Rattus norvegicus: one gene and its partner. The protein of the gene in region 1 interacts with the protein of each later gene in a pairwise test. Links are inferred from orthologs where the notes say so. Each region holds a gene or a part of one and is shown in the gene's direction. Other genes may lie near its edges.

Region 1 (8,268 bases):
GTATGTGCATGCTTGTGCACACAGGTTTGAGGGTATTTCTGTGCAGCCCAGATGTTGACATAAGTGTCTTCCTCAGGAGCTTGCCACCTTATGTTTTGGGGAATGGATCTCTCTTTGGACCCGGAATTTACCCTTTTTGGCTAGACTGGCTGGGATTCTAGGGTCTCGCTGCTATGCCTGCTTTTGCATGAGAGCTGGGGGTAGGAACTCAGGTCCTCAGGCCTGTGTGGTGAGCACTTTACCCACTAAGCTACCTTCCTGGTCCTGGTGCTACTTTGATTGGTTTGGGTTTTGGGTACATAGGGGAGAAAACCATTGTCTTCTCAAGCTCCTGAATGAAGTAACTGTGGGTCTTAGAGGCAGGCAGCCTGGTGATTCTGTCCAAGAACCCTAGAGTCAGGCGCTCTTGGGTTCTTTCTGGTGGAAGTCATTTTCCTTCTTCACTTGACCGTTGACTTAATCTTTTCTTGGAATGGTGTGAAGGGCAGGATGTAAGATTCTTATTTCCTCTTGTCTTCTTTACCGTTTCCAGCTGAGAGGCTAAACAGGATGGGTTTGACTAATTTAAAAGTAAATCAAGGGGCCCAAGGAGATGGTTCTGCCTTTGAGAGCACTGGCTGCTCTTGCAAAGGACCCAGGTTTGGTTCCCAGCACCCACATGGTGGCTCACAATCATCTGTAACTTCAGTTCCCGGAATCTGACTCTCATCTGTTCTCCTAAGGCACCAGACACACTCGTGGTACACAGACACACAGAAAATAAAATAAAAATAAATATTAAAAAAATAAATTGTGGGTTGATGCATGGAGTGCATGGAGGGGCATTTTAAAGATGTTATTCTAAGGGCAAATGCAAGGCTTCATATCGGTCCTTCGGACTTTACCCTGAAGGATAATGACTTTTAGGAGACCTAAACTGTTGGGTACCAAAAATGAATATTACTTCCATTTTTGAAAATCATGAATAGCTGTATTCGCTGACTTTAACTACTGTGAGTTAATGCTTGAAGAAATAAAAGGCAGAAAAATGAGAGCCAAGTGGATCTGTGGCTTCCCCACCCATGTGTCATAAGGCAGGGCATCCTGGGGGGAGCATGTGTGGAAGAACGAGGCACTTTCTGGTGGCAAAGGCTGTGCCAGGGGGCTACGGTTCTCAGTCAGTCCTTCTGTAGGAACTCAGTGTGCTGCCACTGATGACGTCAGGACCCGCATGGTGTGGTCACCTCCAAAGGCCGCCACCAGCTAGCGTCCAAGCTTGCTCCCCAGACTGTCCGTCGTCCAGTGACTGAGGCCGTGTTTGCAGATGGTTTTGAGTTCCCTTACCATGTATTCAAATAGAATTCCTGTGATTTTGATGTGAAAGCGTTTTTATCTTGGGCTCGCTTTAAGAAATCCCCATTTTTTTCTTTCTTTCCAGGTTACTGTGGACTTTATGAAGCCATCGAAACTTGGGACTTTCAAAAACTTGAAAAGTTAGAGGAACACAGATTACTTTTAAGACGTTTAGAGCCGGAATTTAAGGCCACAGTTAGCCCGACAGATATCCTTTCTGAAATATCTGAATGTTTGATTAATCAGGAATGTGAAGAAATCAGACAGGTAAGCCAGTACAGGTACTAAGTTTAAAGAAAAATGCTGACACATTGGAAATGCCCCGTTTTCTGTCGTGCTTTAGGCCCAAGGATAATCGAAACCCATAAAAGCTCTCATCTAGAAGACATAATGACTAGAATAGAATTTTTAAAGTGAATGGGGTAATTTTCTGTGCAAGACTATTGGAAAATTGACCTATTTGCAGTTCAAGTTGCCCCCTTACCTTTTCTTTGAATAGTGTTTTATGCACATGCAAATCACGTCAAGCAGGGCAACAAATGAAAAGAAAAATAGGCCAGGCTCTGGCGTGTAGCTACATTTATTACAGTCTCTCAGTCCCTTAACTAGTGTTCGGCAATCCATTTAGCTTCTCTAAGAAGCTAATGGAAGAAAAATGTACCTTATTAGCATGCTCTTAGGGTGAAACGAGACGGTGCGCACTAAGTATATCTGCCAGTTTGATGCATAGCAATATATACACCATGCATTTTAGTGATCATTAGAAATAAAAATCATAGAATACCTGCTTTGAAAAAAACCAAACCAAACTGCTGCTGTGTTGTTAGGCGTTTCCAAATGGCTCTGTATGCTGAGATATCCTTAGGGTGAACGGGTCGGTCGTTGTCTGGGTTAACTTTTTACCCTGGGATTGCCAGAGGCAATGGATGTAAGGATTCAGAAGATAACATTTGCCTTGACATATTGATAGCCCGTTATAAAGGACAAAGGTGAAGGGAAGAATAGTTTAAAAGCTAGTGCTGGGTAGGGCAAAAAAAAAAAAAAAAAAAAAAAAAAAAGATGCTAAGGCCCCTCGACCAGAGCTCACAGTGATCTCTACCAAGAACTGCTTGAGTAGATGTGGTTTCTTTAGCAAAGCTTGCAAGGAGAAAGGCTGAGCTGGCCAATCAGTGTGGTGCCTTTGTCTCCCCCAGATCTGCTTCACTAAAGGGAGGATGGCGGGTGCGGAGAAGATGGTCCAATGTCTTCTCAGATCCGATAAGGAGAACTGGCCAAAGGTTTTGCAGTTTGCTTTGGAGAAAGACAACAGCAAGTTTAGTGAACTGTGGCTCGTCGATAAAGGTGGGCTGCTCTGAGAAAGAGCTCTGAACCATGCTGGGCCCCACAGTTCTCCCCGACTTTACTTTCCATCAGAGACGCTGTTCACTTCACATACCTCAAGCCGTGGCCCTAGGACACAAGCGGTGGGAAGACACAAGCTGGGTCCTGGGAGGAAGGGAGCTACAAGTCATGGAATTAACCCACCCAGGTCAAAGAATTTGGAGAAGGAAGAATAAAGGCTTCCTGCCGAGATTTATAAGAGTTCTAGACCTAAAGGTTCGAACTGCGAGACTTATCTCCCTGTCAGAGTAGAGGCCGAGCGCTGGGAGTGATAGCTGTTGACTGGTTCTCTTGTCCAGAAGCCATCAGGAACTGAACAGAGCAAGGCGTAAACAGAGATTTGCTGTGATTAAGCCAACCTTATTTGGCTTCCGGAAAGTCACTTCTTGCTTTAAACCAGACCTTGATAAATACCCGAGTTTCTAGGTTCAGTTCTCACCTAGAACATCAGTCATTCCAGAAACTGTCTATGTCATTGGTCAGAGATGAAATCGTGAGTGTCCCTTTAGTGTGCTCAGGAGTGACTCTCCTGCGTCATTGTCCTGAGCTATGGAGTGGGGAGGGACTCCGATTACGCACTGCTAATAGCTGCACGTTCTACACTTGGAGTCTCGTAGTTCTAGGCGACACTGGAATTCAAACACCCAAGTGACCTTCAAACTCAAAATGATTCTTGCTGCTGTTTTAAGCTGACAAAGTGGGGCTGGTGAGATGGCTCAGCTCCTGTCACTGAGCCTGAAGAACCGAGTTCAATGTCTAGGCCCTACATGATAGAGAGAACCAATCCCCAGACAGGGTCCTCCACCTCCGCATACTCACTGTGTCATGTGTGACACACACAATAAACAAATCCATTTCAAAAGTAAATAAAATGTTGAGAAACTGCAAAGCGGGCTGGAGAGATGGCTCAGAGGTTAAGAGCACTGACGGTTCTCCCAGAGGCCCTGAGTTCAAATCCCAGAAACCACATGGTGGCTCGCAACCATCTGCAATGAGATCTGATGCCCTCTTCTGGTGTGTCTGAGGACAGCTACAGTGTACATATATAAATATGATAAATAAATAAATCTTTAAAAAAAAAGAAGGGGTTGGGGATTTAGCTCAGTGGTAGAGCGCTTGCCTAGCAAGCGCAAGGCCCTAGGTTCGGTCCCCAGCTCCGAAAAAAAGAAAAAAAGAAAAAAAGAAAAAAGAAAGAAAGAAAGAAAGAAAGAAAGAAAGAAAGAAACTGTGAAGTCATGGTTATAAGAGCTTTTCGGGGCTTCCTCAACCAAAACCGTAATCACATAGCGTTAAGATTCTAAGCTCTTATTTGTGTTTGTTTGTATGTTTGTTTGTCTTCACAAAGGTGTCAGAAGGGTTGACTGTAAGGCTGTTGAGGATGACGGAACAGAGATGGCCAGCATACAGATTTTCATTCAGGAAGAACCGGAGTGTCAGAATCTCAGTCAGAATCCCGGCCCTCCTTCAGGTACCCAGCATCACTTGTTCTTGTCCATGATGGTGTTTCCCCAGCACTTTGAAGCCTTTTGAAAAAAAAAAATCCTTTTTAAGGATGATTGAGAAAAGAAAGAGAATTTGTGGGGCGATAGAGACTTATAATCAGAATTCTGGTTCCCGTCTTCCATAGCCTCTGCTGCTTTTATAGCCTTCTACCCTGGAGTATATGTGTCTTTATATGTACCACCGTGCCCGTGGCATCCCAAAGCAGCTTTTCTCTCTGAAGAATACTTGTTTCTGAGCCACTTGTTCAGTCTCGTCTCAGGGTGCCAGGGCTGCCGTCCGAGAGCATGAGGTGACTGTGTGGCCGCTGTTTGCAGCCTCTGTGTGTGGGCTCACAGTAACTTCTCACACACAGGCTACTGTTCTGTTACCTGTGGTTGGACGAGGGCCCTAATGCTCCTTGAAATACACCTTTATTATAAAGAGACTAGAGGGCTAGAGAGATGGCTCAGTGGTTAAGGGCACTGACTGCTCTTCTAGAGGTCCTGAGTTCAAATCCCAGCAACCACATGGTGGCTCACAACCATCTGTAATGGGATCTGATGCCCTCTTCTGGTGTGTCTGAAGACAGTGACAGTGTACTCACATACATAGCATTAATTAAAAAAAAAAAAAAAAAAGAGAGAGAGAGAGACCAGAAAGTTGTAAGACAACTTTCAAACAAACAAAACATTTGTAAAAAATATATATCAGGAAGGAGATATATTAATGATGAATAGTGTTAAAAGATGTGATTTCTTAAAAACAGTATATATATGTGTACACACACACACACACACACACACACACACACACACACACACCACACACACACACATCTTACAAATGATGTCAGCAAGTGAATGACACAGGTTTTCATCCTAGGGATACACAGTCGATTTAAATATTTCGGACACACAGTGATCCATACATGACTTTTAAACAAAGGCGATTTTCTTCACCTAGAAAGTCTTTCTTTACAGTGGGACGGTTAGACACTCAGTTGCTTTGAGAACCTGGTGCCAACAGCTGGTTTTCTGGCTGTTTTTGAAGATCTGTTCTTACTTTGTAACAAGTGGCTATGTTCTGAATTAGGCCATTCTTGCTTTCCTTTTTCTTAGTAATGTTTCCATGATTAAGAAAGAAGTCACGGGGCTGGAGAGATGGCTCAGCATTTAAGGGCACTGACTGATCTTCCAGAGGTCATGAGTTCAATTCCTAGCAACCACATGATGGCTCATGAACATCTGTAATGGGATCTGATGCCCTCTTCTGGTGTGTCTGAAGACAGTGACAGTGTACTCATACACATAAAATAAAATAAATAAATGAATCTTTAAAAAGGAAGGAAGGAAGGAAGGGAGAGAGAGAGAGAGAGAGAGAGAGAGAGAGAGAGAGAGGAAGAATAATTCACTTTGGCCTTTCCCCTGCCTCCTTGCTGTTGATACTTTGTCATTGAGAGAGTAGAGTGTCCTTCAAAGGGGAAAGTGGGACAATTATTAAGAAGCAAGATCCCAAACCTCCTCAAATGGGGCATTGTTGCTAGGATCAGAACTCAGGTCCACTGAATGGCACAAACCCTTCAATAACTCTGTCCCTTCTGTATTACAGAAGCGTCTCCTAATAATTCACACAGCCCATTGAAACCAAGAAATTACCAACTGGAGCTTGCCCTGCCTGCCAAGAAAGGGAAAAATACAGTAATATGTGCTCCTACTGGTGAGTTAGTTGCTGCAACTCACAGAACCTTCTCTTTGCTTTTTCGTTTCCTTTTGGGTGCTGCAAAGCAAGGGGTTTTTCCGTATTTGCCATTGGGAGAGCTGTCCGGTCAGCAATCTCTCTGTGTTTCTCAAGGAAGCCGGTGGGAGATGAGTGCCCTCTTTTAGTTTGCTTTTGGTCCTTGCTCCTTGAACGCATGTTACTTAGGGAGAAGGTGGCATTTTTAAGCCATGGTTTAAAGTGTCACTGTCTGTGCAGAGGAAGGATTCGTTTATTTGTATCCCAATGGTGATACAGAAGCCAAAAATAATTACCATCCTGGAAAAACAGCTAACACCGCTTATCTCTTTCTTTTTCCTTCCCTTGCTAAAAGGTTGTGGAAAAACCTTTGTGTCGCTTCTCATATGCGAACATCATCTTAAAAACTTTCCGCACGGACAGAAAGGGAAAGTGGTCTTTTTTGCTAACCAGATCCCTGTGTATGAACAGCAGGCCACTGTGTTCTCACGATATTTCGAAAGATTTGGGTATGTACTACGATCAGTCCAACCTCTTTCGTCTTTTGTTTTTATTTTAAATTTCTAGCCTCTTTGTCTGGTTTTGGGGGTTTTGTTGTAGGGTATCACGTAGCTGGGGCTGTCCTCCAACTCACTCTGTAGCTGAGGTTGGCCTAGACGAGATGATCCTTTTGCTTCTACCTTCCAGCGCATTTGGCAGGCCTCGCTGTTCTGTGTTATGATTAAAAGAAAATTACCGGGTTTGGGGATTTAGCTCAGTGGTAGAGCACTTGCCTAGGAAGCGCAAGGCCCTGGGTTCGGTCCCCAGCTCCGGAAAAAAAAAAAAAAAAGAAAGAAAATTACCCCAGACTTAACTTTTAGAAGTAGTTCCTTTGTGGAATAACATTCTTTGTTTAACTTTACCAGAAATGCTAAGCCCTCATGGATTGCTCTGACCATTAATAACTTGGTGGCCAAATTTAACATTTAGGTGATGCACTGGTCTTTTTTTTTTTTTTTTGATTTTATCTTTCTTTTATTGATGAGTATTGCAGAAAACATCACGTTCCTTGTCATTTATAGAATTATTGTGAATATCATCATTATGTCTGATTTTACAGTGATTTTAGATTTTCCGTATAATTTCTCTGCACCCTCTGCTCCTCCCCCATCTCTGATCCCTTTGGTTTGCTTGGATACACAAGCGAGGTCATTTCTGTAGCTTGTGTTCAGGTTTTTTTTAGTACCTTCGTTTACCTCCGTCTTCCTGAAGACAAATGCAACAGAAGTCAATCAACTTCGCCCTGTGGTTGCCCTTACTTGTATCTATAAACTCATCTCCGATCATCAATGGCTTTCTTTTCTTTTCTTTCCATTTTTATTAAATTGGGTATTTCTTATTTACATTTCAAATGTTATTCCCTTTCCCGGTTTCCTGTCTATCAGCCCCCTAACTCCTCCCCCTCCCCTTTTATAAGGTTGTTCCCCTCCCCATCCACCCCCCCCACGCTGGTCATTTTTAATGATTTTATACTTTATTGGCTATTACTCTTTTAAAAATCGTTTATCTTCTAATGACTTGGAACATTGTGATCATTGGATCAGTTAGTTATAACCCCTTGCATTTCCTGGTCCCTGGCTTTGCATCAGGACTGTGAGAAAGCTCGAGTGCTCCTCAGCTGTACTCTTTGGGGCTCGGGGGCGCTTCCTTAATTGCTGCTGTGACCTAGACTTCCACTTTGTCTCTTTGTTCACAACATGGTTGGTGATAAGGGATTTCTGTCACTTCCCAGGTACAATGTCGCCGGCATTTCGGGGGCAACGGCTGATAATGTGTCAGTGCAGCACATCATTGAAAACAATGACATCGTCATCCTGACACCCCAGATTCTTGTGAACAGTCTCAACAATGGAGCCATCCCCTCGCTGTCTGTCTTCACTCTGATGATATTCGACGAGTGTCATAACACCAGCAAACACCACCCGTACAACCAGATCATGTTCAGATACCTAGATCACAAACTCGGAGGGTCACCCGACCCACTGCCTCAGGTATTTCCAGTCAGGTGACTTCTAAGAAGAGCCGCAGTCTTCCAGAGTTCCACTTAGCTGCTCTTCTGTAGGAACATCTGAGCTTGCCCTCCTCGGGGTTTCAGTCTGTCAGTTACAACTCAGTGTTCAATGTCGGTTCATTCACTTGATAAGGAGTTGTCCCTTGGTGTCCAGGGTGAGTGCCCTTCACAGAGAACAAAATCCAGGCTGCTTAAGTCTCTTGTATGAGATGACATTGCATTTATATATAATCTACACACTTTCTTCCAGCATACTTTAAATCATCTCCAGATTACTAGTATTGTTGAGT
Region 2 (7,175 bases), on another chromosome or scaffold:
TTGGTCTTTTTGTTTGTGGAAGCTACGGTGCTCTCTCAAGAAAGAAATGGCTATGGTAGAGTCAGAGATGGCCATGGCAGGGGTCATTTGGGGATGACAGCTGTGAGGAAAAGGTCTTGGGACAGCAGAGAGTGAGCACTGAAAAGTCTGGCTGTGAAAGGCTGTGCCCCTCCTCACTCATTTTCCTTGCACCCTTTCCTGTCTTCCCCAGTTCTTCTTTCCCTCCTGTTCCCTCCCCAGTGATGGTTATCATGTCTAATAAATCCATCCCACATTGGGTCATGGAGTTACTGAAGGGAGACTAGATGCCCCAAAGCATCCAGGCTTCTTCTATTACCAAGTTACCTCTGATTCTTTCTGGAGATCACTCTGTCTTTGTACCTTAGGGGCCTCACTCCACTCCCTAGACCCATTGCAGTCACCAAGAATTCCTACCACGGTTTCCGAACCTTCTGCATTTGCAGCAGGCCACACCATCCCTGACAGTGGCTTCCAAGATAAACCAGGTTACCCTAAGCCTGTCCAGGACACCCAGCCACCAAAGTCCCCAGTAGAGGTAAGTCCTCATAATCTGTTTTAAGCTGCCTGCTTTTGTGTGCCTGTCTGCTCACTTCTGCCCACCCAGCCTTCCAGAGCCCCTTTCTTTTTTTTTTTTTTTTTTTTATTTTTTTTTTTTGTTGTTGTTGTTCTTTTTTTTTTTTTTTTTTTTTTTTTTTCGGAGCTGGGGACCGAACCCAGGGCCTTGCGCTTCCTAGGCAAGCGCTCTACCACTGAGCTAAATCCCCAACCCCCCAGAGCCCCTTTCTACCTCCTGAAAATCATGCCTCATTTCTGCTAAGAATGCTGGGGTTCCCTAACTAGCTACCTAACTGCTGGCTAGACCTGTGGCCCCTTAGTGTGCTGTTGAGGTCTTTGCAATGGTCATGTGATATGTTGAGCTGGGTAAAAAAGACTAGAGGGTAACCAGATTTGTATGTGAGAGAGGTGATATGAGGGCTCAAGAAGGGTGGGTAGTGACAGAGCTAATTATCAACAGTAAAATCAGGTATCAGGGGAAGATAACTAGTTCCACCGGGATGAAGTGAGTTAACAATGGGGTATAGAAGAAACCCTAGACCTAGACTATGGGTCTGAAGCCATAGGGTCTGTGCAGACTGCTGAAGAAAGGACAGTGGTTACAGACACATGGGTAGGGAACTTCAGCAGTGCCTGGTTTTTTGTTTTGTTTTGTTTTTTTAATGCACTTGAAGTCATCCTGGGGACTGGGCTGGAGAGATGGCTCAGTGGTTAAGAGCACTGACTGCTCTTCCAGAAGTCCTAAGTTCAATTCCCAGCAACCACATGGTGGCTCACAACCGTCTGTAATGGGTTTCAATGCCCTCTTCTGGTGTGTCTGAAGACAGCTACAGTGTACTCATATATAATAAATAAATAAATCTTTAGAAAACACAGTTGTCCTGGGAGGCTGGGAATAGAGCTTTCAGTTGCTGGGGTGCTTGTCTGGCATACACACGTGCCTGAGGTCAGTCTCCAGCTCCATATAAATTGGGCATGATGACACACACCTATACGCCTGCCACTCAGGAGAGAGAGGCAGGCGAATCAGAAGTTCATAGTCATCCTTAGTAAGTTCAAGGCTAGGGTGAGATACGTAAGGTCCTATCTCAAAACAAAACAAAAACAGCAACAACAAAACCAAATAGGTGGGGCTGGAGAGATGGCTCAGCGGTTAAGAGCACTGACTGTTCTTCCAGAGGTTCTGAGTTCAAATCCTAGCAACCACATGGTGGCTCACAACCATCTGTAATGAGGTCTGATGCCCTCTTCTGGTGTGTCTGAAGACAGCTACAGTGTACTTATATATAATAAATAAACAAATCTTTTAAAAAAAAAAAAACCAAATAGGTGGGCTGGAGAGATGGCTCAGTGGTTAAGAGCGCTGACTGCTCTTCCAAAGGTCCTGAGTTCAAATCCCAGCAACCACATGGTGGCTCACAACCATCTGTAGTAAGATCTGATGCCCTCTGGTGTGTCTGAAGACAGCTACAGTGTACTTATATGAAATAAATAAATTAATCTTAAAAAAAAAAAAGGGCTGGAGAGATGGCTCAGAGGTTAAGAGCACTGACTGCTCTTCCAGAGGTCCTGAGTTCAAATCCCAGCAACCACATGGTGGCTCACAACCATCTGTAATGAGATCTGATGCCCTCTTCTGGTGTGTCTGAAGACAGCTACAGTGTACTTATATATAATAAATAAATAAATCTTAAAAAAAAAAAAACCAAATAGGTACTAGGGATGGAGACTTACATTAGGCAAGTATAATCGATGAGCTTCAGCCTCATATGTGAAGGCTTCCTGTAGCCTGAAGCCAAGCAAAGGTTCCGAGGAGCTTGTGCTCTTGAGCCCCATAAATATATGCTGCCCTTTTTCAGCCCCAGGAGAAGCAATGGCTTTATGTTATTTCCTCTATTTCAGAATTCGGAGGAACCCCCACAGGCCAACTTTGGGGCCATTCCAAGGATGTCGGGTGACTCTTTGATATCCTCACCTAACCCACCGGCCCTCAGCCCTCAGCCCTCCAGAGAGCATCCCGAGCAAGAACCCGAACTGGGGGGCCCCTCCACAGCAAGTATGTATAGAGTGTGGTATGAGAGGGTCTCCTGGACCGCTCACATGAAGGTTAGGGTTACAGTTACCACTTGGCCTTCCTTAGATAGGAGGCAGGGTAGAAATAAAAGTGTGTGTGTGTGTGTGTGTGTGTGTGTGTGTGCTGTGTGCATACCTGTGTGTGTAGTAGTAGCAGCAGCAGCAGCAGCTTAAAATGCAGTCATTCATTAGCACATGGCTCAGCTGGGTAGGTCTTCTGATCTTGCTGATTTTGTGTCGGGTGTTCCCTGACATATACATAATGTTCTACTACATCCATTGGCTGGTACTTCCTCATTCTCTCTTCCTCTAGCACAAAAACCCAACTCACAGCATCTGGGTAAGGCTCTGGGTAAATAAAAGAGAGGCAGAGCTCTGAGCTTAGGCTCAGTAATAAGGCAAGAGGTCTTATTACTCCTGCTCTGTTCTGTGGTCAAAACAAATGATAAGGCCAGCCCAGATTCTGAGATTTTTTTTTTTACTAGATTCTGGTCAAATCACATTGGAGAGTGTGATTTTTGCCCTGTGGGTGTATAGTTTTTGTACCTTGCTGCATGTGGGAGAGAGCTAGGGCTATTTCTGCACTCAGGTAGAAGGTAGTGATTGCCCAGGACCTGAAGACGGGAAGGACACCTTATGGGTAGCTAATGAGGGAGCTCTTCACAAGGGGATGTCTGGTTCCCAGCTGTGGTTTGAATGAAGTGGCTCCCATAGGCTTCTACATCTGGATACTTGGTTCCCAGTTGGTGGAGCTGTTTAGAAAGGACTATGGGGTGTAGTCTTGTCAAAGAGGTGGGCTTGGAGGTTTCAAAAGCTCATGACATTCCCAGATAGTGTGCCTTTGCGCTCTCTCTCTCTCTCTCTCTCTCTCTCTCTCTCTCTCTCTCTCTCTCCCCCCCCCACCCCCTTCCAAGCCCATCCCCGCCTCATGCTTGTGGGTAAGATGGAAGGTCTCAGCTACTGCTCCAGTGCCTGCCTCCTTGCTGCCATGCTCCCTACTATGACGGTCATGGACTCTAACCCTCTGGAACGATGAGCCCCAAATTAAGTGATTTCTTATATAAGTTGTCTTGGTCACAGCAGTAGAAAAGTAACCAAGACAACCAGAAAAATCACTAAAGTGGTTCAACCCCAGATAAGTCAGCCAGGGTTCAGAACCTGGTGTCCCCCTCAGGACTAGAGTTTGTCCACCCCGACTTCCAGGCTAGAGCGGCTCACCTCTACTTCCCAAATTGAGTTCTGTTTGCTCTGTTTGTTACTGGTGCCAGGTGAGCCCTCAGTGCCCTAGGATTGCCATGTGAACAGTTAAAGGTTAGAGGAAATTGTCCCAGTGCCCCCAACTGCTTTCACAAATGGCACTTGGTTGAAGTATGTCTGTAAGCACGGGCTCCGGGAGATTTTCTGTCAGGTTTAGGGAGAGATGTCGGACATCACTTCTGACCTTTGTCAGTGATGGCAAATGTATCCTCAGAGTTCTGGGAAGAGTCTGTCGTCATCAGCTCTATGCACTGTAACTTCCTGCTACTTCTGTTTCCCCAAATCAAGCTCCCTTTCTGGGACTACTAGGTCCCTATCCTTGGGGACATATGCCTGTGGGTCAGTTGACTGGTGTTAGCGGTTCTATTGAGCCATCCTGCCACTGCTTGCCCTGATTCAGGATTGCTCCTGCTAGAAGGTAGTGAGGGACAGTAGTAAGAGGAATGTCTCAGGACATCCACGCTCATGCCCCAGGACAAGGTAGAAGGGGCTGAAGTGAGAGAAGAGGCAAGTGCTTAGGGTCGATGGAAAAGGAATAATTTATACCAAGGTTTAAGCTCTTAGGTGTGGATGAAGGTAGAGCCCATTTTACTTTGATGATAGGACAGACTAGGGTTACAAGTTAAGGGCTGAGGGGCAAGAGTCTTTTCCATGGGAGGAGATTGGGAGGCAAGATGTGGAAGGGACCATGTGATCAAGGACATGGGGACCCTTCTCTAGCCCTTAAGTTAAAACCATCCTTTGGGTTTGTTTCTGCTTTTCTCTCCCCACCTGTAGATGTTGACTCTGTTCCCATAGCAACCTATGGACCTGTGTCTCCAACTGTTTCCTTCCAGCCCCTTCCACGTATTGCCCCGAGGACAAACCTCTCGCCTGGGGTCACAGTATCAGCTCTATCTGCCAAGACCACTTTGTCCTCCTCTTCTACTGGATCAGCTTTTGCAAAGGGAGCAGGTGACCAGGCCAAGGCTGCCACCTGTGTCAGCACTAAAGAGGGAGTACCTACCAATTCTGTGACTACCAGCTCAGTGCCTTCCATCAAACCAGTACCAGTAAATACCATGTCTTCCAAGTTGCCCATCAGTACAAAGTCCACTGCTGCAACGCCCTCTACTGTGCCCACTAATATAGCGCCATCAAAATTACCCATCAACTCAGTATATACTGGCATAGTGCCATCCAAAGTGACTGCTAGTGTGGCCAAAGCAAGTGCCAGCACAATGCCACCTGAGAGGAACAACAAGCAAGCCAAGGTGAGTCCTTGTTCCTCCTAATAGTGGCTCAGGCTACTTTGCCAAGACAGCTGGTCCTTGCCCTCAGACCCTTTTACTTCCTGTGCTGTCCCTGGTCTGTTTCTTCAAGGTGGTGGGACAGATGGGAAGCAGCCAAACCCAGCCCTTGCACCTTGTTTTCCAAGAGGAATGAGAGTCATGAGCCCGCCTAAGCTCGGACTAAGTAGGGTGGGGCATGGGACTTCCCCCACTGGCATGTCTGTTAACTCATTTGGAGCTTGAAGCCCCAGTGAAGGTCAGCAGTACCATTTTGTAGCTGGAGTAGTGGGGACTAAACGTGATGGCTCATGTGTCCTAGTGCCCTGTTCATTCGACAGTGTTCTCAAGCATCCTGCTTGTAGTAGCTTCTCCAACCTAGTGACCCCTATAGCCATTTTCCCCACGACCATACAACTGTCTACCTAAGGGAACCAAGTTTGTAAACCTCAGGATCTTGTGCCTGCCCTGTGGCTCTCAGGCCCAGGTAGTACAAGATGGTTCACATGCCAGCAAGGGCTCCCTCTTAGTGGAGCTCACAGCAGTTCCGTGAGTGGGAGAGGGCTGCCCTGGAGGGGTACTGCAGCATCTTGGTCACCTACTCAGCTGTGTCTTATCCCCAAGAGAGGGTAATTTCGGCTATTGTGGGATACTAGTTCAAGCCCTTGCCACACCCTGGGTTATCTCCTGTCACCTGAACCCCTCTTCTTATGTTTGCAGGAGACCCTGGAGGCTCCAGCAACCGTAGTCACCACTGGAAGCAGCCTGACCAGACCAGATATCAGTTCCAGGAGCTTGCACTCTGGGCCAGAGTTAAGCAAGCCAGGGGTGCTGGTGTCCCAGGTGGACAACGAGCCATTCTCAGCCTGCTCTATGGACCTTGCCATCAGCCCTAGCACCTCCTTGGGCTCAGAACCCAACCATGGTCCAGAGGAGAATGAGTATTCATCCTTTCGAATCCAGGTGGATAAAAGTCCCAGTGTTGATCTGTTAGGAAGCCCTGAGCCACTAGCCACCCAGCAGTCCCCAGAAGAGGAAGAGCCTTGTGCCAGTTCAGTGTCCTGGGCTAAGTGGCTGGGGGCCACCAGTGCACTCTTGGCTGCATTCCTGGCAGTGATGCTCTACCGTAGCAGGCACCTGGCCCAGTGAAGCCTCAGCTGTATGCCACACTCACTTGCTCAGTCCTGCCAAGCATGCCCTCTAGGCTTGGGGTGGTAGATATGGCGAGGTCCACTGAGTTATCCAGGTACAGGTGCTACCTGTACTGAGGCGCCATCACTATGTGGTGGGGGAAGAGACACTGCTTCTATCCTGGTTCATGTCATCTTCTGGTCTTCAGCTTTTGGGGGCCCTGTATCCCTTCCATTGCTTCTGACCTGCCCACAGGGCAGGGTAAGATTGCATGCTATGTGCTCCTAAGGAGGTATCCCCACCAGACTCATCCCTATTGGCCCAAGCCTGAAGATGAGGAGGCATTGCACTGTTGACAGTGCCCCTCCTCTCACCCAGGTCTCCTGAAACACAAGCGTAGAATAGTGATGAGTGGTCCCGTAGCATCCAATGCCTTCCACCAGCAGCCTGGCTGAGGCCTCGGCAGAGTGCCTGGGAGCAGCAGAGCAGCTGGTCTCTTGGGAGCTTTGGGTGCTCTGCCCCTTTGGTCCCTCTCCCCAGCCAGACAGCCCTAAGGGTGGGCCTGGAGGTTCTCTGTGGACTCCAAGAAAGCCAGAAGCAGCTCCCAGGCCTGAGAAAGCCCCTGGGAGCCTTGCTCCAGCCTCCTTATCCCAGCTCTTCACTTCTCCCCTCCTGGTCTCCATTCTCTTTGACCTCCTACACTGGATGATGAGATACCTAGTGGGCAGAGCTCAGGCTGGGCTTGGATCAGTTCCACCCTTTCTCTGCCTTTAGCAGATGTTTAGCTTCTCTAGTCTTCCTCCCAGTGTGGACAGTGGGTAGCACTTCCTTTTACTGGGCTCCTCTGAGTTTGAAGGATAGAGATATTTG

What was found. The genes of interacting proteins can lie anywhere in the genome.
Region 2: the proteins of Rig1 (region 1) and Mavs interact in binary tests that used the Homo sapiens proteins (3 or more experiments, as listed by UniProt). The link is inferred for Rattus norvegicus from reciprocal best matches to the Homo sapiens genes RIGI and MAVS.

The regions. Positions count from the first base shown.
Region 1 is NC_086023.1:60,146,819-60,155,086, reverse strand, and holds part of Rig1 (antiviral innate immune response receptor RIG-I), read left to right. Parts: intron 1-1,417; coding exon 1,418-1,599; intron 1,600-2,525; coding exon 2,526-2,673; intron 2,674-4,057; coding exon 4,058-4,180; intron 4,181-5,802; coding exon 5,803-5,910; intron 5,911-6,283; coding exon 6,284-6,437; intron 6,438-7,699; coding exon 7,700-7,958; intron 7,959-8,268.
Region 2 is NC_086021.1:138,911,674-138,918,848, forward strand, and holds part of Mavs (mitochondrial antiviral-signaling protein), read left to right. Parts: intron 1-386; coding exon 387-556; intron 557-2,478; coding exon 2,479-2,632; intron 2,633-4,683; coding exon 4,684-5,159; intron 5,160-5,894; coding exon 5,895-6,323; 3' UTR 6,324-7,175.